4 linked regions of the Pelodiscus sinensis genome follow. The protein of the gene in region 1 interacts with the protein of each later gene in a pairwise test. Links are inferred from orthologs where the notes say so. Each region holds a gene or a part of one and is shown in the gene's direction. Other genes may lie near its edges. The genes, in order: ATF4, CCDC106, GCC1 and NFE2L2.

The links.
Region 2: the proteins of ATF4 (region 1) and CCDC106 interact in binary tests that used the Homo sapiens proteins (3 or more experiments, as listed by UniProt). The link is inferred for Pelodiscus sinensis from reciprocal best matches to the Homo sapiens genes ATF4 and CCDC106.
Region 3: the proteins of ATF4 (region 1) and GCC1 interact in binary tests that used the Homo sapiens proteins (3 or more experiments, as listed by UniProt). The two-hybrid records come from large-scale screens. The link is inferred for Pelodiscus sinensis from reciprocal best matches to the Homo sapiens genes ATF4 and GCC1.
Region 4: the proteins of ATF4 (region 1) and NFE2L2 interact in binary tests that used the Homo sapiens proteins (3 or more experiments, as listed by UniProt). The link is inferred for Pelodiscus sinensis from reciprocal best matches to the Homo sapiens genes ATF4 and NFE2L2.

The regions. Positions count from the first base shown.
Region 1 is NC_134711.1:90,961,911-90,969,834, reverse strand, and holds the start of ATF4 (cyclic AMP-dependent transcription factor ATF-4), read left to right. Parts: upstream 1-4,909; 5' UTR 4,910-5,104; intron 5,105-6,181; 5' UTR 6,182-6,276; coding exon 6,277-6,493; intron 6,494-7,221; coding exon 7,222-7,924. UniProt on the Homo sapiens protein: Transcription factor that binds the cAMP response element (CRE) (consensus: 5'-GTGACGT[AC][AG]-3') and displays two biological functions, as regulator of metabolic and redox processes under normal cellular conditions, and as master transcription factor during integrated stress response (ISR).
Region 2 is NW_027465849.1:3,188,709-3,195,576, reverse strand, and holds the start of CCDC106 (coiled-coil domain-containing protein 106), read left to right. Parts: upstream 1-3,858; 5' UTR 3,859-3,992; intron 3,993-5,553; 5' UTR 5,554-5,618; intron 5,619-6,868. UniProt on the Homo sapiens protein: Promotes the degradation of p53/TP53 protein and inhibits its transactivity.
Region 3 is NC_134711.1:569,082-575,960, forward strand, and holds the start of GCC1 (GRIP and coiled-coil domain-containing protein 1), read left to right. Parts: upstream 1-3,858; 5' UTR 3,859-4,271; coding exon 4,272-5,318; intron 5,319-6,879. Other genes in the region: ARF5 (ADP-ribosylation factor 5), read right to left, coding at 1,106-1,172. UniProt on the Homo sapiens protein: Probably involved in maintaining Golgi structure.
Region 4 is NC_134717.1:45,626,115-45,633,669, reverse strand, and holds the start of NFE2L2 (nuclear factor erythroid 2-related factor 2), read left to right. Parts: upstream 1-4,543; 5' UTR 4,544-4,575; coding exon 4,576-4,605; intron 4,606-7,555.

The DNA.
Region 1 (7,924 bases):
CCTCCAGGCCAATCAGGGCCTGGGGGCAGGGGAGTGGGCGAAGCCTCCCCCGCCCTACGGGGGCACCTGACTGGCCTGGTGGCGGGGGAGCGCGGAAAGCCTCCTCCACTTTCCCCCTCGCCCTACGAGCATCGCACGGCATTTCAAAGTGCCATGTGCTCCTGGCAGGGCGGAAGGAGGCTTTGTGCACTCCCCCGTCCCCAGGCCAATTAAGTCCTGGAGGTGGGGGAGCGTGCAAAGCCTTCTCCGCTCTGCCCCCGTGCTGCGAGAAGGGTGGGGGCAGAGCGGAGAAGGCTTCGGGCACTCCCCTGCCCCCAGACCTTAATTGGTCTGGGGGCGGGGGAGCAGTGGGCCTCTGTGGGCTGGATCCAGCCGCTTGATGGGCCAGATTCGGCCCGCGGAGGCTCTTTTGCCCACCCCAGTGTAATTGACATTTCCAATTTCAAAAGAAGCTATGCAATTGATGTAGCTCAATTTGCGTAGCTTATTTTGTGTTAAACCCTGCTGTATATACGCATCGTAAGGAATCTGTTTTGAGGTTTTTGAGTTAATGATGAGAAAAGACTCTTGCATTTTCCAGCTTGTTTTCTCCCATCACTGAAAAACAACCAAAGGATTTTTACTTTAAGGGAAAAAAAATCTTTTTTTCTAATAAGAATTACCTTCACAAAGGAGATACATTCAGCAAGTTCTGTGCAAAGGCAAAAGGGTGCTTTAACGTGGAACTCTGTATAACTAATTTCTACAAGCATCTAATAAAAAGCATCTATTATAGTCATCTAGGTAACTAGGAAATAATCTTGAAGTTAACCAATGGCTGTTTTTTGGAGTTTTGAGAATGTATTTTTGTGGGGGGTTTTGGGTGGGGGAAGTGTGAAGAGATGGAAGATGTCTCTCTGGAACCTTTCACTGTGCTAATTTCATGCACAAAGAAAGCTAAGTAGATGAAAAACCGAAACAGGATAATCCGGGTGAAGTTCCTTGTTGCGCATTTCATATTTGCTTATGTGAGTCTGGCTCTGCCGTACAGTGACTCCTTTCATGAAAATCCTTAATTAGCTTTTCAAGAGGGAGGGTAGGGTGTGTATATACTTTCCACTGATTTGGCTATAAAGACAGCATTACTTAAAATGGGGAAGGGGGTGGATCAAGGTTAAGGGATGTGAAAGCCTTCCCGTCAGCCAATCCCCATGCTACACTGATATCCACCCCCCTGCCCCTCCAATCCCTTGTTTGGCTTCTTTGTTTCACTGCCTCCCCTCCATTCTGTACTGAAACTCAGTGAGCTCCTTGATGCATTTTTTTTTCAGACCAGTCGTCATGGTTCACTGAGCTGCTATTGTGATGTCTTCTGAGATGTAGGGCAGTTTCCCCTCCAATGACTCAAAATGTTATTTTGCTCTTAAAAGAAAAAAAAATACCTTGTATACGTGGTACATTTCCACTCAGCAAAGCGGTTCCTATTGTGCATTTGGAGGATTTTGTGCTGACTTCAGTGATGATAAGGTTGCATTGCTTTCTTGCTCTTTTGCTGGCTTTGCAGGGCTGTGTGGGGGAGCAGGCTGGACACAATTTGTCCTTGAGGATTATCGCTAAAATTGTTTACTAGGTTCCAGTAAGTTACAGCTGTGCAAACCCAATGAAGGCCATGAGCTTCCACGAGTGTTCCTAAAGTCATAACTGGAAGACAATAGGGTTGCTGCCAGAAGTAGCTGAAAGCACAAGTTTGTTGTGCAAAACCTTTATTGCTGATTATGATTATACGAAGCTGCTGCTGTTGATCTTCCAGAGTTCGAATTAGCAGTGTATTTAAGATAGTTAATTCGAAGTGAGAGGGGCACTCCGGTTGATGCTGCCAACCCTGCTTTCACAAGGAGTAAGGGAAGTCGAAGGAAGAGTGTTCTTCCTTTGACTTCCTGCAGTGTAGAAAGCGCCAAAAATTGAGTTAAGGTACTTTGACTTCAGCTACGCAATTAATGTAGCTGAAGTTGTGTATCTTAACTTGTCCTGTAGTGTAGACAAACCCCCAGAGTCCAAACTGTATAGCAGGGATTGACATCCTATGGCACGTATGCCACTTATGGCATGTGAGCCGATTTTAAGCAGCATGAGGGAGGGAGCTCAGCCCTATCGCCTCCTTCCCCGCTGCTACTGTGGCGCACACAGTTGGGGCCAGCCCTGGAGGCTGGAGGCAGTGGGTCCTCTGGGGCTGGCTCCTGTCTGTGGTGGAAGCGTCAGTGGGGCCTGCAGGTTGGCTCAGGACAGCATGGTTGCAGCAGTTGTCAAGTAAGTGTCCCTCCTTATGCCCAAACCCCCACATCCCAATCCCCCTCACTCACCTCCCCCCACCAAGACCCTACACTTCCAGCTTGCTCCAATGCCCTCACTTGTTCCTGCATCCTCTCTCCTAGCTAGACACTACACCCCTATCTTGCTCCTGCACCCTCCCTCCTGGCCTGGCCAGACACATAGCCCCACCCTGCTCCTGTATCCACCATTGCTCCTGTACGCTCTCTCTGGCCACACACTGCACCCTCCCTTGTCCCTGCTCTCTCCACCAGCCGACATCCTACTCCCAGCCTGCTTCTGCACCCCACCTCCCAACTTTTCCCCCTTCTGCACCCCATACCTATCCTACTTGCTGGCAACTCTGTCTCACACACTAAACCCCTCATTTTTGTCCCTACTCCAGAACCTAAGGGGGTTCATAAAATCCTCCAATTCCAGAATGCCAGAAAAGTAAATCTGGCCTACAGGAAACCCTGAACCTCAGTCCTCCCTGTTCCTTCCCCTTGCCCTGTGAGGTTGGAGCACTAGGGAGTGAGGTGTTTCAGTTGGGGGCTATATCAGTGAGGGTTAGTAGGGTTTTTTTGCTTCTCACTGTGTGGTCTCCAACTGGTTTTTCTGTGGGTCAGTGGCTCCCCAACTCAAAAAAGGTTCCCTATCCCTGCCATAAACAAAGAAAACATTGAAACCTTTTGTGTTGGACATAATATTTTACTTTAAATAAGGTGAAGTTTAATAAACTAACATGAGAAAGTTAAATGCTTAATCTGTTTCATAATTTAAATTGAACTGTTCTCCCTAGCTGCAGCTGGTTCAGAAAATATGGTCACCGTACCCAGATCAGTGAATAAGTTAAATCTGGCATATCACTTCTGAAAGGTTGCTGACCCCTGCTGTACTGTATGGTTAGCAATATGGAAAACATGTAATTATATCTGAATGCACCTCAAACAGCAAGGGGCGGGGGGCAACAGAAGAGGGGACAAAGCTAGCATGGCAGAGAGAGGGGTCATAGAAGAACAGGTTGCCCTAGTGGCAGGACTGGTAGAGCAAGGAAATGGGCAACAGGGGTGGGGATGAAGGGAAGTGAGAGACAGTTAGGGGCAGGATGGCACAGCAGGGAGGGGAAAGTGAGGAGCAGTCCTGGCACAGGGAGAGAAGTGCTGTGGGGGAGTAAGAAGTGGTGGGGAGGGGAGGAGAAAGCTGGCACAGCAGCCCAAGAGCAGGGAAAGTGGGGACAGAGTTGGCACAGATAGGGTTGCCAGGTGTCCGGTTTTGAACCAGACAGTCCGGTTTTTGAGCTTTCTGTCCGGGAAACAAATTGAGAAAATACCGGACATATAAATGTCTGGTATTTTCTAATTAAGTAAGTTTTATTATCATGATTATCAGTACATAGTTGCGTACTGCGTGAGCGTGTGTACTCACCAGGCAGTATACAATTACACAATAGAGAGGAGGGGGGCGGGGCCGGGATGGAAGGCCAGGACTGTGTGAGGGATGGGCTGCACCCCAGGATCTATGTTTGCCTGGACCAGCCCTGCTTCCTCCCAACCTCCTCTGGGCCAGCCCTGCTTCCTGCCAGCTGTGCCCTGCTCCCCTCCCAATCGGTCCCCACCGCCATCTGAGATCAAGTGTGTTGGGTATTTTTCTGAAAACATCTGGTAACCCTAGGCACAGAAAGGATGTGAGAAAATGGGGGTGGTGGTGAGGTCAGAGCTGGTACAGCAGGGGAGGCAGGGTGAGGAAGTCACAGGGCAAGACTAGCATGGCAGTGGAGCGCTGGGGGAGCAGCGGGTGCTGCAGCAAAGGGAGGGGCTGTGGAAGAGCAGGGGGCACAGGAGGGCAGGGCTGTGGGCAAAGAGGCAGCGGTGGGGGCTGGCGGCAGGGCACGAATGCAGGGGTGGGCGGGGAGAGGAGCTGTGGGGTGCAAGGCTGGCACTGTGGGGTAGGGGATGAGAAGGGGCACTGGGGGCAGGGCTAGCACTGGGGGGGATGAGGAAGTGGGGGGAGCACAGGGCTGGCGCTGCAGGGAGGGGGGCGAGCTGGGGGCAGGGCTGATTGGGCGGCTGACGTTGCAGCTAGCCGCCTCGCGCCCCCTCTCCCCCTTCAGCCGAGAAGCGCAGCTCCTGGGCCTGCAGTTTGCATCGCTCTCGCTCTAACCAATGGTAGCTCACAGCGCACGTGAATTTGCGGTATCAGCCAATCAATGCTTCACATGCCCACGTGGTGATCCCCGTGCCGCGCCGAGCCCACCGGTCTGTGCCAGACCAAAGGCGGGAACATCCCGCCCGCGCCAGTTTCTGCGTGGCGTGACGTCACTTCGCGTCAATGAGGCATAGAGTCAGGGTGATGGGTACACTGCACAATATAGCCCCCTGTAATTCTTCCGCCGAGTGTTGGCTGGTCCCCTCGGCAGTGCGCGTGACCACGCGAATCACCTCTCCCGTCCCCGGGAGTCTTCCGGCAATCGGGGGATGGCAGCGGGGCACAGAGCGCTGCGCACCACCCGGCATTTGTGAGCGCGCGCGGTGAATCTGGCGGAAGGATACAGCGAAACCGGATCTCATTTTGTGGGGGGGAGGGGAAAAGGGCGGTATATAAGCGGGGAACGCGCGAGCCACCCTCTCATTGTCTGTCTGTCTAGTGCGTCGTGTGTTCTGTGCGTGGGCGCAGGCGGGACCCGACCCGGAGCAGCCTTGCCGCCGCCGCCATGGCTTGGTAAGGGCGGCAGGGCCAGCAGCGGCATCGGCCAGTGCAGCGGGCGCAGCAACAGCAGCGGCGTCCACGGCCCCTCCCCGGCATCTGCAGCCATGGCGTGAGTATGGGGGCGGGGCGGGGCCCCCCATCGGCAACGATCTGGCCGAGTGGGAAAGGGGCGTAAGTGAGCCGGGAAGCCCTCCCCCCCCCATGTTAGCGAATGGCTTTTCCCGCGGGGGGTGGGCCGAAATGGTATAGCCCGTAGGGGAGTGAATTGGTCGCTCCCGAAGGAGGGACGCAGGGACGGGCCTTGGGACGCTCCATTGCGCCCTTCCCTCCCTGCCCTGCTAGGGAGCGCGCGAGTTGCTGGGAGGCACCATATGGAGTGGGATGGGGGGGGGGGGTGAATTCCTGTGATCCGCTTAGCCCGGGAGAACCCATTCCTTATGGAAGGGGGGGGCATTGCGGTGGATTGTCCCTCTCGCCCCTGCTCCTCGCGCTTGCGGGTCCCTGGGGCTCCGCTGTTGGGGGGCGGGGGGAGCGAGGCTGCAGCTGGGGGCTGCCCATTCAGCTTCCCGCTCCCCTGTGCGCCCTGGCGGGGTTTGTAGGCGAAGTCCCACGTTCTCCTCCGATGCCCGCTCTAGGGCTGCAGGGAGCGTTTCCCTTCCCGCTGTGTCGCGCCGCTTTGCTCCTGGTCCGCCTGCTAGATGCCAGGTGCTGCCCCCGTGGAAACGTGGCAGGATACACAAAATGGCCGCCTATTGCTAGGGCGGGGTGAGCGAGCACACAGGCAGGAACGCGAAATGGCTGCAGCAGCTGGCATAGGCGCAAGTCCAGCAATGCAGGCATGAGTCACAGCAGATGGGTGGGAGGGGCTCTCGCAGGAGATGTGACCATATTTGGTCATGAGGAAACTTGAGTGGCCCTTTCTGTTGAGACTTCACAAGCACCATCTTAGTTACCAGATGGCGCTATTGGGGTGAGAGTTCTGAGACCGGCAAGAAGGGTGCAAAATGCAAAAATGTGGCTCACAGGAGATCCTGAAAAGAGGGAAACCCCAGTTTGGTTAGTGTTCCATAACATGGTTTATATAGTTGAAAACTCCCTTTTTCCACCAGTAGAAAACATACAGTTTAAGTCAAATCACACAAATGGCTGTGCTATATAACAGATGATCTTCTGTCTTTAATTCCAGGTTTTTCAAAGCACCTCACAGCAGCATTGCTGTAATTGACAAAGACACCTACTCATCTACATTCTTTGAGCAAAAAGCATTAACATTTGACCAAGATGAGCCTCTTGAACACGGATATGCTGTTGGGGGGTTTAAAGTCCCCCTTCAGCCAGTGGTGTTTGGTGGCTGAGGAAAGTCTGGGACTTCTAGATGACTACCTGGAGGTGGCCAAGCCCCTCAGTTCGCATGGGTTCTCCAGCGACAAGGCTAAGGCAGTCTCCTCCAATTGGCTGGCTGAGGATAGTTTGGGCAAAACCACAGATGACAGCCAGGGTAAGGCATTACTTTATTCTCACAGGATTATAGTGTTCAATTAGCAAGTGTTTGCATATCTCATCATTCATTGATGTTGATCAGTGAGCTATTTAAATGGATGAAAAGCAGTGTATTGAGAATCAAGAGCATCTCCATCCCTGTTCCGTATGTGGCTCAAAAGGCTATTCTTTGGGGAAGGAGCCTACAACATGCGAATGTGTTGCTTTCAGGTAGCTCTTAAAATCTTTCCAATTCTATAGAGCTTGAAGGAACCAGAGAAATGGCACGTTACAAATCACTATCAGGAATATTTTGTCCTTTTTTAGTAAAGCTCTGCAACCCACTCCACAATAAATATCAGGTGGGGAAAACAACCACACCAGCTTGGAGTCAGGTTGATTCAGCATCTTGGTCCAATCGGATATCTCATTGCTGTGGAGTGTGCACAAAGGATAGGAGTGGAGCTGCCAAACTTCTGATTTTTCTGTAACCCCGTAAGGAGGGGAAAAGAGTGAAGCTGAGCTGGGGTTAGGACCCTTTTGGATCAGGTGGGTTTGGGTCCAGTCTGGGTCAAGCTTAATTAATCTGGAGCAGACATCTATTGTTTAGAACATATGATTAGATTTGTCTATCAGAGAAATGAATGGAGAAAAAATCCACAATATAGCATGCAGTTTTTTCAGTAGCCTTTTGAATTGATTGTGTGACTGCTGTACTCGTATGGTAATTGTTTCCCCATGTTGCAGAGGATGCCTTCTCTGGCATGGATTGGATGGTGGAGAAGATGGATCTGAAGGAGTTCGACTTTGATGCCCTGTTAGGAATGGATGACTTGGAAACCACCGTCTCTCCAGATGAGCTCATGGCCACGTTGGAAGACACGTGTGATCTATTAGACCCTCCTACCCAGGAAATTCCCAACAAAGAACCTTCACTGATAACTGACCCAATCATTCATCACCCTGAATCTCCAATTGGAGTAGATCAGGTGGCCTCACTTGCCCCCCTTCTGCCTCTTCACCTCTCTCCAGAGTCCTTGACTTCTACTCCAGACCATTCATTTAGTTTAGATCTAGGTAGTGAAGTTGATGTACTGGAAGGAGACAAAAAAGCAGAAGCCACCACATTCGTGGTGGTGGTGATCCCCAAGTTTGAGAAAGAGGAGGAAGTACATTCAGATAATGATAGTGGAATATGTATGAGCCCAGAGTCTTATCTGGGGACACCCCAACACAGTCCAGTCACCTCTGTAGAATCGTTCAATGACAGCCAGTTTCCTGCAGACCCCATTTGTGGTTCTATGCGGCCCAAACCATATGATCATCCTGTAGAGAAAGTAGTGTTGGCAAAGGTGAAGGGAGAAAAAAGGGTTGATAAGAAATTGAAGAAAATGGAGCAGAATAAGACAGCTGCTACACGTTATCGGCAGAAGAAAAGAGCAGAACAGGA
Region 2 (6,868 bases), on another chromosome or scaffold:
ATTAAAAAAAAATCCTGGAAAAAAGTAGACAAAACCCAAAGTTTTAACCAAAAAAAAAATTGTTGATCAATTTGGCAAATACTTGGGACTCGGCCAAAGAAGGCCGCTCCAGTTTGAGCCTTGGGCCGATTTTGTGCCTTTTGAACGTTTCTGTACCTTTCATTTTACATTTAACACTGGCAACAACTTTGGAAAAGGCCAACATCAAAGACGTCTCTTTTGAGCATTGAAAATCATTCCCCACCCCTACAGATCTGCATAGATTATTGAAATAATCTAGCCACCGAGATCTGGGCCCAGTCAGGCCTGGTGTGGATAAAATCTAGTCATAATCTCAGACATTCCCATAGGGATTAACAGCCCGCATTTCATCCTCAGGTCTCCAAGCACTTTACCTTGGCAGACCAGGATCATTATGCTCTGTTATGTGGGAAACTGAGGCAAGGGGTGGTGGTGTGGCGGGGGGAGGAATGAGAAATCAGCTGTACCAAACCCATCGCTATCCCTGACCTTTTACAGTTGTTGACAATTGGAAGAAACAACAAAAAGCAAAAAAAGATACATCCATAAAGAACATTTTTTGAGATCTAAAAAAAAAAGACAAAAAATCCCCGCCCCCAAAAAAATCCCGTAGATTTTGCAGAAAATCACCAACAATTTTTCCCCCGGGGTTGTCTGTCCCAAGGGGGGATTGGCCACAGTTCGAGTTTTGCCATGGAAATGAGACACACTAAAACCCACATTCCCGCTGGAACTTGGCTCACCATGCAATGGAAACAGGACGGGTCACTTGGGGTGGGCGGCAGGCTGGCCCCAGGGGAAAACTCAGCCACGCACGGACCCCTCGTGGCAGCCAATAAATCAGTCATGCTCCCGGTTCTAGAGATGGGGGAAAACAGGGACACAGAGAAGGGACATGCAAAGTCACTCTGCAGGGAACAGGACCAGTCCGAAGAAGTCCTGATGTCACCCAACTTCCCCGCCTGCTCTAACCACTAGACCACACTGCCTTCCAAGAGCCAGCTGTGGAACCCAGGAATGCTCAGTTTTTCAGGGCTGTGAGAGCTTAAGCTCCAACCAGCAGCAGGCTGTGAACCATCTGACCTGAGAGCCCCCCGAGCTTCTGGGGAATCTCCCCTAGCCAGGAACACTATAGGGGGCAGGACACAGGGGGAGGGGGTTAGTTCTGATTGCAGCCATCAGGGGCAACATGGCTCTTTCACACACATGCAGCGCAGGGCCCAGCCCCTCCTGCAGGGGGCAACAGGGGACCCCCCCCACACACACACAATCCCCTCCAACAGGAGGCGCCAGCTGCACACAGACACACTTTTCTGCCCTGCGGATTCATTCCTGGTGTGATGGGGGCCTCTGTTGGCCAGGCAGGGGGGATGGGGACCCCTCATCCCTTATTGGCCTCTGGGAAGCAGCAAGTAAAGAGTTTGGCCTTGGAAGTAGAGAAACTGCTTATAAGGGAAGCAGATTGGGGAGGGGGAGACAGAGTCTGAGGCCCAATGGTCCATGAGTTACTCCTTCAGCTCCCGTATACCCAGCCCCCGCACCCCACCCTGCAGGGGCTGGATCACCTGGCAAGGGAGGGCCAGGTTAGGCGGGGATCCCTGCACGACCAACTGCTCCAGGGTGGCACGGCGGGGGCTGGGTATTGGCTGTGGGGGCTGGAGGAGCAAGGGGGGGTCCCCGTTCTCTGCGAGTCACATGATGGAGGGGGTTAAGGGATGGGATGGCTGATGGAGAGGGTTACGGGACAGGTGGATGGTGGTGGGGGTTAAGGGTCACATGACGGGTTTAACCCGCCGTGAGACGCAGCAGCTGGTGGATTCCTGGGCGCTATATTTAGTGGCTAATGACAGGTTGGGATGGTGGAGCTGCCTGCTTAGCACCTCGGGCAGGCCTGGACTGGCAGGTCTGTAGGCTCCCATGGTGGCTGTCTTCTGCCCGCCTCTTGATATAAAGTAGTCCCTACAAAAACAGCCTGGGCAGGAAATGGGGTGCTGGGTCTTTCCCATACGTGTGTGTGCGGGGGCGCCCCATGGGGCTGGTTGGCTCGGGGGGGGGGAGGGAATGGTGTGTAGCTCCCCTCTGGCCCCAGGGGAGCCAGATGGGGGGCACCGACAGGGCTGCGGGGGCAGGGGCTGTGGGGCGCGAGTGAGCGGCACCGAAACAGCTACGGGGGAAAGATGCACAAGCCCACCAATCAGAGCCAGCTCCCTAACGCAACTCACACTTTGCAGACGCTCCCTGGCCCCCAAAGTGTGTGTGTGTGTGGGGGGGAACCGCCTCCCCTTTTCCTTTCCAGCTGGGGGTGAAGGCAGCGGACACCCTGCAGGGAGAAGCGGGGGGGGGACATGGCCGCAGTAAGCGCGACGGCATCAGCCCCCCGCCCCTAGCCCCCTCCCCTTACTGTCCCCTCTGCCTGCCCTTCGTCTCCCGTCCGGCTAGGGAATTGCGCCTCGCTCCCTGCCTGGGCGGGGGAGGCAGGGAGGGAGCTTGAAGGGGCCGACGCTAAAAAGTCGCGCTTTTCCAGAGGCGGAAAATGAAAGCGGACGCGGGGGAGAAGACAGAAACCGCCCCCTCCTCCCGATGGGCGGAGCGAGGGCAGCTCGGTTCTGTGGGGCGGTGATGAGGAATGGATGGATAATGAAGGGGGTGGGGGATGGATGATGGAGGGGGGGTGGATGATGATGGAGACGGTGGGGGATGGATGATGGAGGGGTGGGGATAGATGGATGAAGGAAAAGTTGGGGTATGGATGGATGATAGAGGGGGTGGGATGGATGGTGGAGGGGTGGAGGGGTGGATGGATGATGGAGGGGGTTAAGGGACCAGCGGATGATGGGGGGGTTAATGGACAGGTGGATGATGGAGGGTGGTTAAGGTACAGGTGGGTGATGGAGGGGGTTAAGGAATGGGATGGATGATGATGGGGGTTAAGGGACAGGCAGATGATGGAGGGCGTTAAGGGATGGATGGATGATGGAGAGAGTTAAGGGAGAGGCAGATGATGGAGGGGGTTAAAGGATGGACGGATGATGGAAGGGGTTAAGGGACCGGCAGATGATGGAGGGGGTTAAGCGATGGGATGGATGATGGAGAGAGTTAAGGGAGGGTGGATGATGGAGGGGGTTAAGGGAGGGTGGATGATGGATGGGGGTTAAGGGATCGATGAGTGGATGGATGATGGAGGGGATTAAGGGATGGGATGGCTGATGGAGAGGGTTATGGGACAGGTAGATGTTGGTGGAGGTTAAGGGAGGGACAGATGATGGAGGGGGTTAAAGGACAAGTGAATGATGGAGGGGGTTAAGGGATGGATGGATGATGGAGGAGGTTAAGCGATGGGGTGGATGATGGAGGGGGTTAAGGGATGGATGGATGATGGAGGGGGTTAAGCGATGGGGTGGATGATGGAGGGGGTTAAGGGATGGATGGATGATGGAGGGGGTTAAGGGACGGGCAGATGATGGAGGGGGTTAAGCGATGGGATGGATGATGGAGAGAGTTAAGGGAGGGTGGATGATGGAGGGGGTTAAGGGACGGATGGATGATGGAGGGGGTAAGGGACGGGCGGATGATGGCGGAGTGAGGGATGGGTGACTGAGGGGGTTTGGGGCACAGAGAGGTGATGGGGTGGGGGGAACGGATGGGTGAGAGAGGGGGACTTAGGGGTACTGTCGAGGATTTGGAGGGCAGAGAGCTGTGCTTGGTGAGGATAAAGACACGGGGGTGACTGGGTCTCTCTCCAAGCCTTACCCCCCTTATTACTCCCCCGAGAAGGGGCCGAGCCCTGGCTGGTGGGGGGGGGGGGCGTGTCAATTTCTGAGCGAGCTCTGTAGCACAGCCCCCCCCCGCGTGTCTCTGCCCTGCGTGCGTGGGCGACCCCCCCCCCCGGTGGCGCTTTGCAGACGCTCCCTGGCGCTGCCAGGCGTGGGGGTGGCCGTGCCCGCTGGCTGGGGGTTCGCGAGCCGAGCTGGGTGAGTGGGGTTGGGGGGGGTTGTTCTCTGCAGAGCCCCCCCCCCCGCACCCGCTGCCCTTGCAGCGCGCCCCGGGGCCGGGGGGGGGTTCTCTGCTGAGGGTCTATTTTGCATCCATGGGGGGGATCCGGGGCTACGTTGTACCCCCCCAACTCCGCGTCCAGCCCCAGCTCTTTCCCCTCCCCCCCTCCCCCCTCCGCAATCCAGCCTGGGAGTAGCCGAGTTCCAGCTGCACAGCGAGGCACACAGGGCGGGGGAGGGGCAGAGAAGCCATTTTTAGGGCGATTTCCCCCCATTTGGGGGCACTCGACGGCATTGGGGGGGAGGGCTGGGACCAGGCGTGCAGACTTGGGGGCAGGCGGGGAGTAGAGTCCATCAGAGAGACTGGGGGGCCATGGGGTCCCTGGATCTGATGCACAGGGCTGGAGCTGATGCAAAAGGGGGGGAGGGCTGGGGGGTCTGGAGCTGATGTGCAGGGCTGGGGGGGTTGGATCTGATGCAAAGGGGGGGAGGGCTGGGGGGGCCTGGAGCTGGTGCACGGGGCTGGGGGGCTATACGGGGCCTGGAGTTGGTGTGTAGATCTGGGGGGGGGGGGGGGGCTGCGGGGGAGGGGCTGCTCACTCGGCTGGCTGCTGGTGAGGACTGCAGGGTTTGGGGGTGGGGGCGTAGCTGGGTGCAGATGGCCCCCCGTGGATGCGGGCTGCTGGGTTTCTTCCAGGAGCTCCCCTGCTCTGGCTCTGGGGGAGGCAGGGTTTCCTCCATGTGGCCTGGATCCCCTGGGTCTGTTGGGGGGGGGGGGGGGGGAGAGCCATGTGGCCCTCCCTCCCCTCCCACTTGCTGGTACCCAGCTCTGCGCCTAGATGTCTGCCTTGGGAGTGCCCTGGGGAGAGAGGGGGCATCCCCAGATTTACCCAGCCCCCCAGTAAATCCAGCTCCTTTCCCCAGCTGCTCTGCTGGGATTATGTGTTAACGCCCCAGTTTCCCAGCTCTGGGGCTGGTGCTTGGGGGACGGAGGAGAGGGTGGGTGTTTTGGGGGGACCTGGGACTGAAGTAACACTCGGGGGTGTTTGTAGGGGGAGGGGATGTGATCTGGGCTGGTTCACGGCAAAAGTGCCCCCCCCCGTCCTATAATTTTGGTTGATCTCTGGGGGGGCCAGACTTGGGGAGGGAGGGAAGTTGCAGGGTTCTGGGCAATGTGTATTGTTGTGTGTGTGATTTTGCATGCCCATCCATGTGTCATATCATCTGTAGTGCATAGCGGAGGAAGATTCTCCTCCAGCTTAGGGAGCTGGGATCTATTGCTGCTCCTACTCAGAAGTTTACTGCTGACTAGGTGTTGAACTGAGGCATAGAATCCAGGAGTCCTGCCTCCAGCCTCTCCTACTCCCTACACCCAGACTGGCTTTGTGCCTGGCCTTGCCCTGATCCCATGCACCAGCGCCTGTGTGGGACAGCAGGGGGCACCGATGTGGGCAGCCCACAGGCTGTGGGTTCAAGTCCTGCTCCCAAAGAAGCAGCCTGACCCCCCCTTCCCCCTCTGCGTCTCTTCTTCCTCCCCCAGGGCTGGCCGGAGGGGGGTGCAGGACGGGTTCGGAGCTGGGCTGCCCCACGGCCCATCCGTCTCAGGTAGGTCCCTGGCCCGTCTGCAGGGAGAGTCCGAAAGGTATCCCTACAGGGGCCATGTGGGGTCATTCTCAGGGAACCTCAGCCTCTCCCCAAATGGCTCCCACTGCCAGGCTTGGTCCCCCACACTCCAGAAGTGCCCAGTATGGCGGGTGGTTGGCACCCAGTTCTGGGCACGGCCAGCCTGAGGCAGCTACTGTCGGCTCTGGGGCTTCGTGGGAGCAGAGGGAGCAGGCCTGAGGGGTAGGATGGGTTGAGTCGGGGGTGATTTGGAGTATGTGGGGAGCCCTGGGCATTATGGGTGGGGTGGGGGTGTCCCTGGAGCAAGAAGCAGGTGCCCCAGGGGTTATGGGTTGGGGCTCTCTGGAGTTGTGGATAGGGGCTGCCCCAGGGGTTATGGGTTGGGGCTCTTTGGGGCAGGTGGTGGCTGCCTTGGGGGTGGTGTTATGGGTGGGGGCACTCAGGGGATATGGATAGGGGCTTTCTGGGGTAGTAGTGGTTGTCCTATGAAGATTACGGGTGGGGGCTCTCTCTGGGGATATCGGAAGCTGCCCCAGGGGGATTCTGGGTAGGATCTCTCTGGGGTTATGGGTGGGGCTGCCCACAGGGAGTCTCTCTGTGGTTATGGGTGGGGGCTGCCCAGGGGGGGTCTCTCTGGGGTTATGGGTGGGGGCTGCCCAGGGGGGTCTCTCTGGGGTTATGGGTGGGGGCTTGCCAGGGGGGGTCTCTCTGGGGTTATGGGTGGGGGCTGCCCGGGGGGTCTCTCTGGGGTTATGGGTAGGGCTGCCCAGGGTGGTCTCTCTGTGGTTATGGGTGGGGGCTGCCCAGGGGGGGTCTCTCTGGGGTTATGGGTGGGGGCTGCCCAGGGGGGGTCTCTCTGGGGTTATGGGTGGGGGCTGCCCGGGGGGTCTCTCTGGGGTTATGGGTAGGGCTGCCCAGGGGGGTCTCTCTGTGGTTATGGGTGGGGGCTGCCCAGGGGGGGTCTCTCTGGGGTTATGGGTGGGGGCTGCCCAGGGGGGGTCTCTCTGGGGTTATGGGTGGGGGCTGCCCAGGGGGGTCTCTCTGGGGTTATGGGTGGGGGCTTGCCAGGGGGGGTCTCTCTGGGGTTATGGGTGGGGGCTGCCCGGGGGGTCTCTCTGGGGTTATGGGTAGAGCTGCCCAGGGTGGTCTCTCTGTGGTTATGGGTGGGGGCTGCCCAGGGGGGGTCTCTCTGGGGTTATGGGTGGGGGCTGCCCAGGGGGGGTCTCTCTGGG
Region 3 (6,879 bases), about 90 Mb from region 1:
CAGCCCTCCCCATTCTCCAGAGCCCTGCATCCCCCCCCACCCTGCATCCCGCCCCTCCCCCCATATCGCCCTGCCCCCCCCAGTCCCGCAACCCAACCCCACTGCCCCCCGGGAACACAGCCCTCCCCATTCTCCAGAGCCCTGCACCCCCCCGCCCTGCATCCCACCCCTCTCCCCATATCGCCCTGCCCCCCCCAGCCCCGCAACCCAACCCCACTGCCCCCCGGGAACACAGCCCTCCCCATTCTCCAGAGCCCTGCATCCCCCCGCCCTGCATCCCGCCCCTCTCCCCATATCGCCCTGCCCCCCCCAGTCCCGCAACCCAACCCCACTGCCCCCCGGGAACACAGCCCTCCCCATTCTCCAGAGCCCTGCATCCCCCCCCACCCTGCATCCCGCCCCTCCCCCCATATCGCCCTGCCCCCCCCAGTCCCGCAACCCAACCCCACTGCCCCCCGGGAACACAGCCCTCCCCATTCTCCAGAGCCCTGCACCCCCCCGCCCTGCATCCCACCCCTCTCCCCATATCGCCCTGCCCCCCCCAGCCCCGCAACCCAACCCCACTGCCCCCCGGGAACACAGCCCTCCCCATTCTCCAGAGCCCTGCATCCCCCCGCCCTGCATCCCGCCCCTCTCCCCATATCGCCCTGCCCCCCCCAGTCCCGCAACCCAACCCCACTGCCCCCCGGGAACACAGCCCTCCCCATTCTCCAGAGCCCTGCATCCCGCCCCTCTCCCCATATCGCCCTGCCCCCCCCAGTCCCGCAACCCAACCCCACTGCCCCCCGGGAACACAGCCCTCCCCATTCTCCAGAGCCCTGCATCCCCCCCCCCCTGCCCGTTGGGCCCCCCCGGCCCTGCGTCCCCCCCCGGCCCGTAGGGCCCCCCCGGCCCTGCGTCCCCCCCCCTGCCCGTTGGGCCCCCCCGGCCCTGCGTCCCCCCCCCCCCTGCCCGTAGGGCCCCCCCGGCCCTGCGTCCCCCCCCGGCCCGTAGGGCCCCCCCGGCCCTGCGTCCCCCCCCCTGCCCGTTGGGCCCCCCCGGCCCTGCGTCCCCCCCCCCGCCCGTAGGGCCCCCCCGGGGGTGGGAGGGGGGGACGCGGCCTCACCCATGAGGATCCGCATCTGCTTCTTGCCGAAGATCCGCGAGAAGATGGCGGAGACCGTGAGGCCCATGGCTGGGGAGCGGGAGCCGCGCTGCGCCCCGAGCCTGCCGACACCGCCGCTGCGAGCAGCCTGGCCCCGCCCCCTGGCAGGGCCCCGCCCCCGCCCGCTGTAGCCCCGCCCTCGGCAGAGCCCCCCCACCGAGCCTTAGCCCCGCCTCCTGGCAGATCCCCGCCCCCAGAGCTCCCTAGCGAGTCTTAGCCCCGCCCCCGCCCGCCGTAGCCCTGCCCTCGGCAGAGCCCCCCCAACGAGCCTTAGCCCCGCCCTCGGCAGAGCCCCCCACCGAGCCTTAGCCCCGCCTCCTGGCAGATTCCCCCCCCACAGAGCCCCCCAACGAGCCTTAGCCCCGCCTCCTGGCAGATTCCCCCCCCCACAGAGCTCCCTAGCGAGTCTTAGCCCCGCCCCTGGCACAGCCCCGCCCCGCCCGCCGTAGCCCCGCCTCCTGGCAGAGCCGCCCCCACAGAGCCTCCTCCCGAGTCTTAGCCCCGCCCCGCCCCTGGCACAGCCCCGCCCCGCCCGCCGTAGCCCCGCCTCCTGGCAGAGCCGCCCCCACAGAGCCTCCTCCCGAGTCTTAGCCCCGCCCCGTCAGAGCCCCGTCCACCCTGTCATAGGCTCCCTCGCATCAGAGCCCCGCCCCCTAGACGAGCCCCCCCCAGCCATAGCCCCGCCCCCTCCCGCCTTAATCCCGCCTCCTGACAGAGCCCCCCCCACAGAACCCGCTCCCGAGCCTTAACCCCGCCTCCTGAAAGAGCCCCGCCCCCGTCCGCCTTAGTCCCGCCCCTTGGCAGAGCCCCAAACCCGGCAACACTCCGATACCTGTAGAACGAGCCCCGCCCCGTGGCAGTGGCCCCGCCCCCAGAAGCATGGGCACGTGGCCAGGCGCCGTCAGTCGCCTCCTGCAAGAGCCCCGCCCCTGCAGCACTAGCTCCGCCTCCTCGAGGATCCTGGACGCTAGCAGCAGCGCGATCCTCCGCAGGAGCCACGCCCTCTACCAATAGCCCCGCCTCCTACAGCATTGGCCCCACCCTTGCACCGCGAGCTCCGCCTCTTCAAGTGCTAGCCACGCCCCCAGGAGCTACACTACCCCGTCTCTAGAAAGGGCCACAATCCCTTGAATCCTGCCAGAGCCCCATTTTTGGGGGAGTCCTGCTCCCTCACCCCGAAACTTCTGCTCCCTGCAGCTCCAGGGCTCTAGGCACAATGCTGGTGATACTCCTGGATCCCACCCTGTGCCAGGGCCTTGCAGTGAGGTCACACCGCTTGGAAATGGCAGCAGGGCTTGAAATTAATCTGAATGGGACAGTCCACCCCTCTGGAGCTATTGTCGCTGACTGCCTGGTGTACCTGGGCTGCCTTTTGCATTCCAAGGGGCTTTTTTAAATGAAAACTACACTTGTTTTGTTAGTCTTTAAGGTGCTGCAAGACTTAGGCTATGTCTACATTGGCATGATCTTGCACAAATACTCTTTAACGCAAGAGTTCTTGCGTTAAAGTATTTGCGCACGAGAGCATCTACACTGGCATGTGCCTTTGCGTAAGAGATGTGCTTTTGCACAAGAGCATCCATGCCAGTGTAGACGCTCTCTTGCGCAAGAAAGCTCCGATGGCCATTTTAACCAAAGGGCTTTCCTGGGCAAGAAATTCATGTTGCCTATCTACACTGGCCTCTGCGCAAGAACAGTTACACAAGAGGGCTTATTCCTGAGTGAGAGCATCATAGTTCTTGTGCAAGAAGCCCTGATTTCACACATTAGAACGTCAGTGTTCTTGCGCAAGATCTCGCGGCCAGTGTAGCCAGGCAGCAAGTTTTTGCACAAAAGCCACCGCTTTGGCGCAAGATTGCGCCAATGTAGACACAGCCTTGGGGTTTTTCTTAAGTTTTTCCCATTACAGACTAACGGGGGCTACCCCTCTGATCATAAATCATCCCAGAGATGGGGTTCTAGCTAGGAGCAACCTCCCTATGGGCCATGCTTTCCCCCACCGGCCACGAGAGACAACAGTGGGTGAGGGAACAGGCTTTATTGGACCAACTTCCGCTGGACCTAACAAGGTGCTCTGGGTCTCAAAGGCTTCTGGTTTTCACCCGCGGGGAAGACATCGCAGCTTCACCCACCTTGCCCCTAGCATGCCGGACCGGCAGAGCCCGAGCGACCCAGGGCTAGGAAGTGACTTCTCCACGGAGCCACGCTGAGCGGGCCCGGCGACACGTCCCTGCCCGTGGGCCGGGGCAGAGGCTCGCTGCTGAGCAGGAACCAGCCCAACAGGATAGTGGGGCGGGGTGGGGGCGGGCCCCCACGGGAAGAAGGAGGCCGGCTCCGTGGGGCTGAACACGCCTCTGCCGGGCCCCCGCATCGCCTGCTCAGGGCCTCGGGCAAAGGCAGCTCCCGCCCCGGCCCTAGCTAGGGAACCGGTCCCCTCCTGCAGCCGTGCAGCGCCTCCCTCCCCACGTGGCAGCTACTGCCTCGGAGCCCCGCCCCCAAATCTCATAGCCCCGCCCCTTCCCGAGGAGCGCACCTGCGCACTTGGGCGCTGCGACCTGGGCAGAAGAGTCAAAAGGCTACTGCAATCGGCACATGCGCAGTGAGAAAGAAGCGGGGCCAGCAGGTAGAGCGCTGAGATATGCGCGCATGCGCGGCGACCGTTGGCCCCCGGGGGGGGGGAAATGACGCCATACGCGCACGCGTAGCGACCGTTAGCGGGGAACCTCAAGAGCGGCGAGCGTCGGTTGGTGACCTACGTCCTGGGCGCAGGCGCGTTGGCCGCGAGAGGCGCGGGGTGCGCAAGCGCGAGGCTCGCGGGCCGGGGAGCGGCGGTTTACGCGCAGGCGTGATGAGGGTGGGCCGGGCGTGACGGGTTCCACGCATGCGTGTGGCGGGAGGTCCGGGTGAGCGGAGCCGCCTTGCTGACGTGTGAGGAGCGGCGGGGGGAGGGGCCGGCCTCTCCCCGTCCCGCCGAAACACCGAGCGGGCGGCCTCTTCCCGCCCGCCCGCTGAGGGGGGCGCGATCCCGGGGGCGGCCTCTTCCCGCCCGCTGAGGGGGGGGCTGTGACGGAACCGGAGTCACTCCGGAGTCTGCGCCTTCCCCGGGGGCTGCCCGAGCCCCCCCGCCATGGAGAAGTTCGGGATGAGCTTCGGGGGCGGCCCCAGCCGCAGGGAGCTCGCGGAGACCGTGGAGGCGCAGCGGAAGCAGCTGCTCCAGTACCAGACGCGCCTGGGGGACGTGGTGCGGGCCTACAAGAGCCTGCTGGCCGAGAAGGAAGCCTTGGAAGCCAGCTTGAAAGTCTTGTCCGTGTCCCACGAGACCGACGCGGGCCTGGGTGGCCCCCCGCCCCCGGGCGCTGCCCACTCCGGCGTGTCCCTTGCCGACTGTGCGGATGACCGGAGTTCCGCGCACAGCGAGGACAGCACGGGCACGGCCACCAGTGTGGACACGGCTGCCAGCATGACCAGTGCCAAGGGTGAACTGGGGACAGACGATGAGCGAACCGGAGCTGGGGGGCCCCCCCTGAAATCGGAGGAGGCGAGCGAGTCGGAGAGTGGGGTCAGCACGAGCAGTGGGGATGTGCCAGGCGCGGCTAGTGAGACTGACAAAAGGGTGCTCCAGCTGAAGACTCAACTGGCCACCTTAACCAGCTCCCTGGCTACAGTCACCCAGGAGAAATCCCGCATGGAAGCCTCGTACCAAGCAGACAAGAAAAAGATGAAGCAGGACCTGGATGAGGCCAGTAAAAAGGCTGAGGAAGAGAGGAGCAAGTTGGAGGCAGAGATGAAGTGTGTCCAGGAGCAGCTGGCAGAGACCAAAGCTCGTCTTATTACTCAGCAACATGACCGGGCCCAAGAGCAGAGTGACCATGCCGTGATGCTGCGGGAGCTGCAGAAGCTGCTGCAAGGTGAAAGGACCTTGCGCCAGGATGTGGAGCTAAAGTTGGAGGAGACTAAGGAAGCACTGGCTGGAAGGGTGTACATGGCAGACCGAGTGGAAGAGTCTGAACTGCAGACAAAGCAGCTGAACAGGGTGGTGGAGGAGCTGAAGAGAGAGCTGCAGGCCGTGCAGGAAACGAGCAGCAAGCCAGATCCCAGGCTGCAGGAGCTACAGGAGGAGATGGCCAGCCTCAAGAGTCATTTTCAAGCACAGCTGCTGCAAGAGATGAAAAAGGTAATTCTTTGTTGGTACACCAGGGTGTACTAGCCAACCTATTATATAGGAGGAGAGCATTAGTGAGTACAGAGATTTGTAGTGAGTTTGGGTTGGCATAAATCCTGCGTCTTCATAGGACCATAAATGAGAGAAAAATCTACTGTTCCATTAGAAGGAATTCCTTCTTAATAAGGATTCAAACTGCTGTGCTTCAGGAGCATAGGTCAACCACTGTAGGAGTAGGAAGAAACTTGTTTTATAAGGAACTGTGCCATAATTGTCCATTATAGTTTCATATACCTTCTGAAGCACATTACCCAGGCCACTGTCAGAGACCAGTGGATAGAGCACTGTTCTAAGCATTGTGGCAGTTCCTGTGACTGTACCTTTGTAAAACTTTTCAAGAGTCTGCAGTGATAGGAGCAGTGCAAATTGAAACTATTCTAATAGAATGAAATAATTGTAATTAGGGATGTGAACGTGTAAATGTGTCATTGACCTTCACAGTTACATGCTTCCTCCCACCCTTTGGTGTGTAAATGTGTAACCACTGAAATTCTCAGCGGTTACACCTTTACCTAAATAAATTCATTTCAACATCCCTAAGTAATGTAGTGTATTACAAACAAACAAACAGCGCTTCCTGTCAGTGGATGCTGAGGTAAATAATTCAGTAAGATAAGGTGAAATGAGAGTGGCTTTTAACTCTCCACCTTCAGGGGCTGAGCTGCTCACCAACTGGGGTCATGAAAAACATCTTTCCTCTTTTCCTGGTACTGCATGGAATAAACAATGAGATGGATTGTAAATCCATAGTATGCCCACTTCTTGAATATTCCATATAGATGTGGCCACTTCATCTCAAAAAAGATATATTGGTATTGGAAAGGGTTCAGAAAAGGGCAACAAAAATTATTAGGGGTTTTGGAATGGGTGCTATAAGAAGAGAGATTAAAAAGATGGGGACTTTTCATTTTAGAAACGAGGAGACTAAAGGGGGATATGATAGAGCTCTATAAAATCATGATAGGTATGGAGAAAGTGAATAAGGAAAATGTATTTACTTGTTCCCATAACATAAAAACTAGGGATCACCAAATGAAATTAATAAGTAGCAAGTGGCACTTCAGTCAGGGAATGGGACCTGTCAGTACGAGGCACAGTACCCAGCTCAGAGTGCCTGTGACCCTCCAGCTGGTATGGAGTCCCACAATATAAGAAGTAGGGGTCACCAGGTGAAATTCATAGGCAGCAGGTTTAAAACAAAAGGAAGTTTTTCATCATGCAGCACACAGTCGACCTGTGGAACTCCTTGCCAGAGGATGTGGTGAAGACCAGGACTTAACAGGATTCAAAAAAGAGCTAGATAGATTCATGGAGGTTAGATCCATCAATGGCTGTTAGCCGGGGTGGGTAGGAATGGTGTCCCTAGCCTCTTGTTTGTCTGGATAACAGGAGAGGGATCACATGATGATTCCCTGTTCTGTTCACTCCCTCTGGGGCATCTGGCATTGGCCACTGTTGGAAGACCAGACACTGGGCAGGATGGACCTTTGTTCTGACCCAGTCTGGCCATTCT
Region 4 (7,555 bases), on another chromosome or scaffold:
TTGGCACGTAAAGCTGGTCCTATAAAAGATATTACCTTAGCTCGTCTCTCTAAAACCCTGGCACCAATGCAGCTACAATAACACTGCATAGACATACCTCCTCATGCAGTGATAAAACGTATCTATTCTCCATATACATTCCTAATACGTTCATAGACAGTGCAACATGTTCTACCTGAATTTCCATAGCAGAGCAGGTGTATTGCAGATGAACATACCTGGTATATTTAGCAAAAGAGTCATGTAATTAAGACATTCTGATTATAGTTTACATTCTTCAGATGGATGTGTAGTTGTATATAATTACACTACAGGCTTTCTATATTTACAATAAACATGCATCGTAGACATGCTAGTGAGAGAGAGAAGCGAAACATTACATTCTATTTTATGGAGTGATTACAATGACAAATATCTGGTAATAATTAGGAATGTGAATGACTAGTCGCCTATCAGGTACGCAAATGCTTATCGAACAGTTGACACGCTAATCGACTAGTTGCTTCCCCCCCCCCCCACCTTGCTGCCTCTATCAGAAGAGGCGGAGGTGTTTCATAGTGGTAGCATCACATGGAGCCTGCAGACTCCACTGCTGACCCCAGGCTCCATGCAGCTCTGCCACTTTGAAACGCTGTGGTACTGAGAGTCTCCTGCTGTGAGACTTTGAAACACTGTGAGTCTCCTGATGGCTCCAAGCTCCCTGCAGCTCTTTCACCTCAAATGTGGAGGTGCCCTTATCGACTAATCAAATAGCCGATGTAAATTGTATCAACTATTCGATTAGCCAATTAATCTAAATGTAATATCCCTAATAACAGCTTTCATCCAAAACTCATCACACCATCCATTGTCTACAACCAATCCCTAAAATACAACTGCATTTGTTCCAATCCCTCAGACTAAGACAGGATCTCTATCAAGCATTCTTAAAACTCCAATACCCACCTCAAGAAGTGAAGAAACAGATTGATAAAGTGGCTAGCCAGGACAGACCCATCAAAGAAAGCAACATAACATAACATAACATAGACATTACTTACATCCCTCAGCTACAATCTATCCTACATATCATCAAGGATCTACAACCTATCATAAACGACGATCCCTCGCTCTCACAGACCTTGGGAAACAGGCCAGTTCTTGCTTACTGACAGCTCTCCAACCTGAGATAAATACCCACCAAAAACTTCATATGCTACAACAGAAACACTAATCCAGGTACCTATCCTTGCAACAAAGGATTACCAACTCTGCCACATATTTATCCCAGTGACACCATCACAGGACCTCACCACATCAGCTATGCCACCAAAGGCTCATTCTTGTGCACATCTACTGATGTAATATATGCCATCATGTGCCAACAATGCCCCTCTGCCATGTACATCTGACAAACCATCTGTCTATGCAAAAGAATAAATGGACACACATCAGACATTAAGAATGGTAACATACAAAAGCCAGTGGGGGAGCACTTTAACCTGCCTGAACACACAATTTCAGCCTTTCGAGTTGCTATTCTCAGGCAAAACAGACTGCAAGGAGAAACTGCTGACTTGGGAATAATGCAAATTTGGCACATGGACTGATTCTCATGTTACTCTTACATTACACATAAGTAATTTCCCATTCAGGTACTCACACCTTACCACTGTTGGAGATGAGCCACATCCACTCTGATTTAATTAGTACTGATGTCATAGTCCCATCTCTGTGTCCTTTTCCTCCCTCTTTTTTCTCTCTTTTTTTTCTTCAGTGTCTGAGGAGCTGTAGCTCATGAGAGCTTATGCTCTAATACCCTAATACATGTGTTAGTCTTTAAAGTGCCACCAGACTCGTTGTTGCTTTTGCTGAACTAGACTAACACAGCTATCGTTTTAACATCTGACATTGCATACATTCATTTGTATGTTTTGTCCCACCAGAGCAACACTCTTTATTGTAGTAGATGTGAGAGGATTAAATAGCACTGTGAGCCATAGGCATGGGAACTTCGGGAGTGGGAGGGTGCTGCAGTACCCCCAATCTCAAGGTCCCACATGCTGGGGGCTCTGCTGCCAGCTCGCGCCCAAAGGTCCCAGCTCGAGCCCCGTGCACTGGGTGCTCAATTGCCAGCTCCACACCCAGCTTCAGCAGGGGATTCAGACAGGGATAAGGGGTCCCAGTACCACCACTTTTAAAAAATGTGTCCACACCACTGCAGTAAGCTGGATCATTTAGAACAGGAATAAGCACAGGAATAGAGCCATGTTTTCAGCAGGTGCAGAGCAAGGCTGGGTGAGGGGTTATTAGCAGTGTTCTCTTCAATTATATTTATTGACTTTAAAGGAAGCCACACATACACCTAAGACCACCATTAGTTCCACCACTGTGTATGCATTATAGATAGTGGCTTTGACCTGTTATAACTTCCTAACAAATACAACATCTTGCATTTTTACAGTGACTGTTATCCCCAAATGACCACAAATTTAACATAAGATTTATTTTCACCAACTGCTGAAGAGCTCGACCTTCTATGAGGCTACACAACAGGTGTTGAACAGAATACAACAACATTTGAGATTAAGAAGTGAAGAATCCTGTCTCACATTTAAATTTCAGAGGAAATTAAAGCAGGAAAAATGTAATTACCTCAGTCGGAATCTAGCCAGTGCACAAGGATTAATGCACCCATTCTTCTAAAAGTGCTGTGGAATCTTTTAATTATCAAAAGTAGTCAGGATCTCATTTGAAAGATGGCCTCTCTGAAAAAACAGCATCTTCTGCTAGTGCACTGTTTTAGGATTAGTAACAGTGCTATCTACTAAATCTACAAATACTTTCCGAGCTCTGGAGTTTCTCTTAGAGGCCATTCTTCCAAGAACTGAATGTGCATAATTTGTGAGACTTGGTTGTACAACTACAGAGCTAGCATAACAGAACAAGGTAATGTCTTTAAACCCCCAAAAGCTGTGGACTCAACTAAAACAGAGTTTACCTATATCTTCCAATACTTTCTGTGAAAACAGACAATAAAACTGCACCATGCACACTTCTTCATGGAAGTAGGTCCATACATGCATTGATGTGCTGCTTCACATTGCAAGATATGGCCCGGTTCCATAGCTAAACAGCACAGGATGTCTAGAGGTAAGAATAAAATAATGTTGTAAAGTAATAATTCTTTTGTGGGTAGCATGCAGCTAAACAAGGTTAACTTGAGTGGTGGGGAAGGATTGAGGTGAGTCACTCAGAGCACTCCTATATTAGGTATTGGGGGGGAAGGGGAGTCTCAGGAGTGGTGGATGTCAGTTTATATTAAGAGTTTTGAGAAATGTGTTGGAATTTCCATATAGCCTTCCTCTCATTATTAAGCTGCTATATTAGTTACCAACTATAAGTTGGAATGGCTGGGGAAGGTCAGTTAGTATAAAGAGTTGGTCAGCTGGGATGTTGCAGAATCTGTTGGAAAGGCATCTGGTGAATCTGCTGGATTGAGATATGTTGAGATGGGGGAAATGGCTCTGATATGTTGGAATCTGCTGAGATCAGGCAGGCAGGGTTCTGTCAGACTTGGAGATGGGATGAGTTATGATAAATCAGGGAAGACTTAGTTTATTGTGGCAAGATTGACAGGCTGAAAAAGGATCTGATGAGAAACAATGTGGTAGGAATAGAGAGGAATCGGAATTGAATTGGAATAGGTTGAGGAGAGATCTGTTGGAATGAAGAAGAATCTGGGAATAACTGGATAGTTTGTGGGAGCTGATGGACGTGGGTGATTTTCAGGAGAGATGGGGAGGAGAGAGAGAGAGAGAGAAAGAGAGCGTGTGCGCGTGCGCCGGCTTACATACACACAGAGCCAGATGTCCAGTTAGGCACAGTACTCAGGTGCCTTGGGGTGCTGCCCTTCTAAAGTTTACAAAACTTTAAAGTGGTTTACAAATTTCATTTTTTGTTTTTAGAGAAAGCACAAAAGTCAGCTGTAGGCAGGGGCAGGTGCTAATGATGCTGTGCCTAGGAGCATACAACGCAGACATCTGGGCGCGTGTTTGGCAGTGATGGGAGAGGACAGGCTCGGGAAGGGATGGGGCTGGTGGTTTTGGGGAGAGAGGGAAGAAGATGGGGCCGAGGCTCAGGTGTGTGTGGCAGCGATGGGAGAGGACAGGCGAGGGAAGGGATGGTTTATGGCTGGGATGGGGTGGGGAAGCAGAAGACGGGGCACAGGGGCGTGTGGCAGCGAGGGAAGGGGAGAGGGCCGGGACGCTGCTCTCTAGCAGGCCCTGGGGGGACAGGCAGGGGCTCGGACGGGGCCAGGGTGGCTTGGGGCCGGACGGGGATGTGAGGATGGGCGGGGCCGGGCCAGCCCCCGCGCTGCTCCGTGCGGCCGCCGTTGCCGAAGTTGCCGGGGCACTGGGACAAGGGCCGCCTCCCCGGCTGCCGCGGCCGTGAGTGGCTGGGGCCGGGCGGGGCGGGGCGGGAGGCGGCTCGCTGTCCCAGCTGTCCGGGGCCGCTCGCTTCACTCCCCCGCCAGCGTCGCAGCGAGCACCGGGACAGGGAGCGAGGGGCGACGCGCCGGCTGCCGCCAGCAGGATGGAGATCGAGGTGCTGCCCGCCCCGCAGGTGAGAGCCGGGCCTGGGCCCCGAGTCCGCCGGGAGGGGCCGCGAGTCCGGGGGCCGCTGGCACGTGTCTCCCCTGGGGCAGCCCCCGCCCCGCCCGGGTGGCGACACGCCGGAGCGGGGGGCTGCTGGTGGCGGGGGGGGGGGGGAGCAGGAGTCGCGGCCCCGCCCCTGCTCTCGAGATCGGCGCGGCTTCCCCTGCTCCGGGAACGTGATGAGTCACGGGACCGGCCGGGCGCCCGGGGGAGGCGGGCCGCGCACGGTTCCTGCCGGCCCCCAGGCCAAGGGAGCAGCCTGGCGCGGAGCCCCCTGGGGTCGGTGGCGCGTCAGGGGGACCACGGCCCGGGGGTTCTTACGCCAAACTAGTGTCCTCTGCTGCGAGCTTGGGACTTACCCTTTGGTGACTCAGTTTCCCCATCTGCACCATGTCACAGCCCCTTGGAAGAGGCCTGAAATGTGATGTGAGATGATGCCAGTAACAGCCACCCTGGTTTTAACCAGGTCTGTGGTGCCAGCCAATCTTACCAGCTGCCTCAAGGGCAAAAGGCCATGGGAAGGTCAGGAACAATGAGGCTGGCCTCCCAGAGAGGTAGACTAGATACTCTTGATTTCCTGAAAATCTATTGACTGAGGAAGTGGGGGTGTGAACAAAATGTCTAGGCCCTGGGTGTAAATAAAATGTATGGCTTTCAGTTTTAGCTGTAAGGAGTAGTAGCCCTAGCAAACATTATCTACACTCAACAAATTTAAATAAGTCTGCCTTGGAAATCTTAACCAGATATCATTGTACAGGCAGAAACTCTCTAGTCCAGGGTTCTGATCTGTGGTCTGGCAGGGCCATTGATATTGCTGAAACAAAGATCCCCAACAGCTGCGGGGCAGGACCTGGGAACAGGGCTGCAGGGCCAGTGGCCGGGAGAGCCAAGAGTCAGGTAGCTGGGGCTAACAGTGGAACCAGCCTGGTGGCAGGGAGCCCAGTGACCAGGGCTGGAACAGAGCGAAGCCTGGAGTGCGAAGCCTGGAGTGGAGCCCAGCCAGTTCTGATAGATCCTGGGAGAGCCTGGACTCTGTCAGCAGAGGGCCTGGAATTGACATCCCCTGGTCAGCACCTCTACTACACATATTGTTTCAGCATCCCTGGTGGCTCCGGAGACCCCCTGGATCTGTGTGATTTAGTCCTCATTAAACATGCCACTGCATTTAAATTTTAAGGCCCCACATCTAATTTCTTATTTGGATACATTATCCTTGTGTGGATGGCTTTTGGCTTTAGTTAAAAGTTTATCGTCTGTCACAATTTCCCTAAAAGGGCCCTTTCTGCTCGATAGCGTGAGATCCCTAGTGTTCTGAGCCAGGAACAAGTTGGAGCTGTTACACAATCATTTATTTCCCTGGGGCTGTTATGTTTTGGATTTAGCCTTTTGGTGCAGCTTCAAAATGTGTAAACCAGCATATATGGAGGGTATAATCTCTGAATTATCAGAACATAAATTTTAAATATTAAACATTCTTTCAACTTTTTTTCTGATAGTTTCTTTATCATGTTTCTGCATAAAATATATGTAAAGTTAAGCAGTTTCATTTCATAACAAGTCTCTTCAGGGGCATATAATGACATTCTTTTTCATAGTCTTGTGCTATCAGTTGTATCAATTGTCTAAAAGCAGAAGAAATTATCCTAAGTTATTTCACTCTTTTATTTAAAAAATGCATTTTTTAAAGGGTGAAGGAATAGTTGAGAACTAAACCAGTTTACTCTTCAATTTTAGTTTACAGATGTTTTGTGTTCATTTCTCCCCCCCCCCCCTTCTTGTTTATAGGGAAATACAAACTTTTTACTCCTAAATTTATTACATGTATGTATTCCAAATGTTATGTCCATTGTTTAGGTTCATTCTGATCTGGATCACAGACTTAAGAGAAGCTTAGATAGCTGTTTCTCAGGGGCTAGATATCCCACCAGATTAATTTGAGGCAGTGGTTCTCAGTCAGGCATATGTGTACCCCTGGAGGTACACAGAGGTCTTCTAGGAGATACATCAACACAGCTACATATTTGCCTAGTTTTACAGCAGGTTGCATAAAAAGCACTCGCAGAATCAGTACAAACTGAAATTTTATACAATGTCTTGTTTATAGACCGCTATATACAATACATTAAGATGTAAGTATAACATTTATATCCCAATTGATTTATTTTATAATTATATGGTAAAAATGAGAAAATGAGTGGTTTTTTTTTCAGTAATAGTGTGCTGTGACACTTTTGTATTTTTATGTCTGATTTTTTTAAGTGACATGAAACGTAGGGGTACGTAAAACAAATCAGACACTTGAAAGGGCTACTGTAGTCTGAAAAGGCTGAGAGCGAGTATTTTAGGGGACAGCATCCACTCTTAAAGTTTCAGCTACACCTTTCTGGATGTATCAAACACATCTACCTCCCCACTCTTGAGATGTGTCCCTCTTTGCAATATTGCTTCTTGTATCTCTGTTCTTAAAAAAGTTCCTCTTGGGCCTTCATCATTTTTTAGCTTCACTACTACTATTGCCTCATGTCTGGCCTCCCCTCTTGACACCCATTCATTCCTTGCAAAATGTTGCTGCTAAAGTAATTTTCTTGGTTTATTTGACTGTGCTAGCTCCCCTCTGAATTCCTACTGGCACCAACTTATGCACTGCATAAAATTCAAGCTTTTTTTGGTCTCATCTTTAAGGGCTTTAGCAACTATGGGCTTATTTACAGTTACAGTGTTGCAGCAGCATGGCTGTATTAGCAGTTACTGAAAACACAACCTATGCCAATGGGAGAGCATGTCCCGTTAGCATGCATGCAAAAGAAGCCCTTTCGTGCTGTCTACATCAGTGGGTAAGTTGGTGTAACTATGTCATTCCAGGGTGTGGATATTCCAGAACCCTGAGCAACATTATACCAGCATAAGTTTGTAGTCCA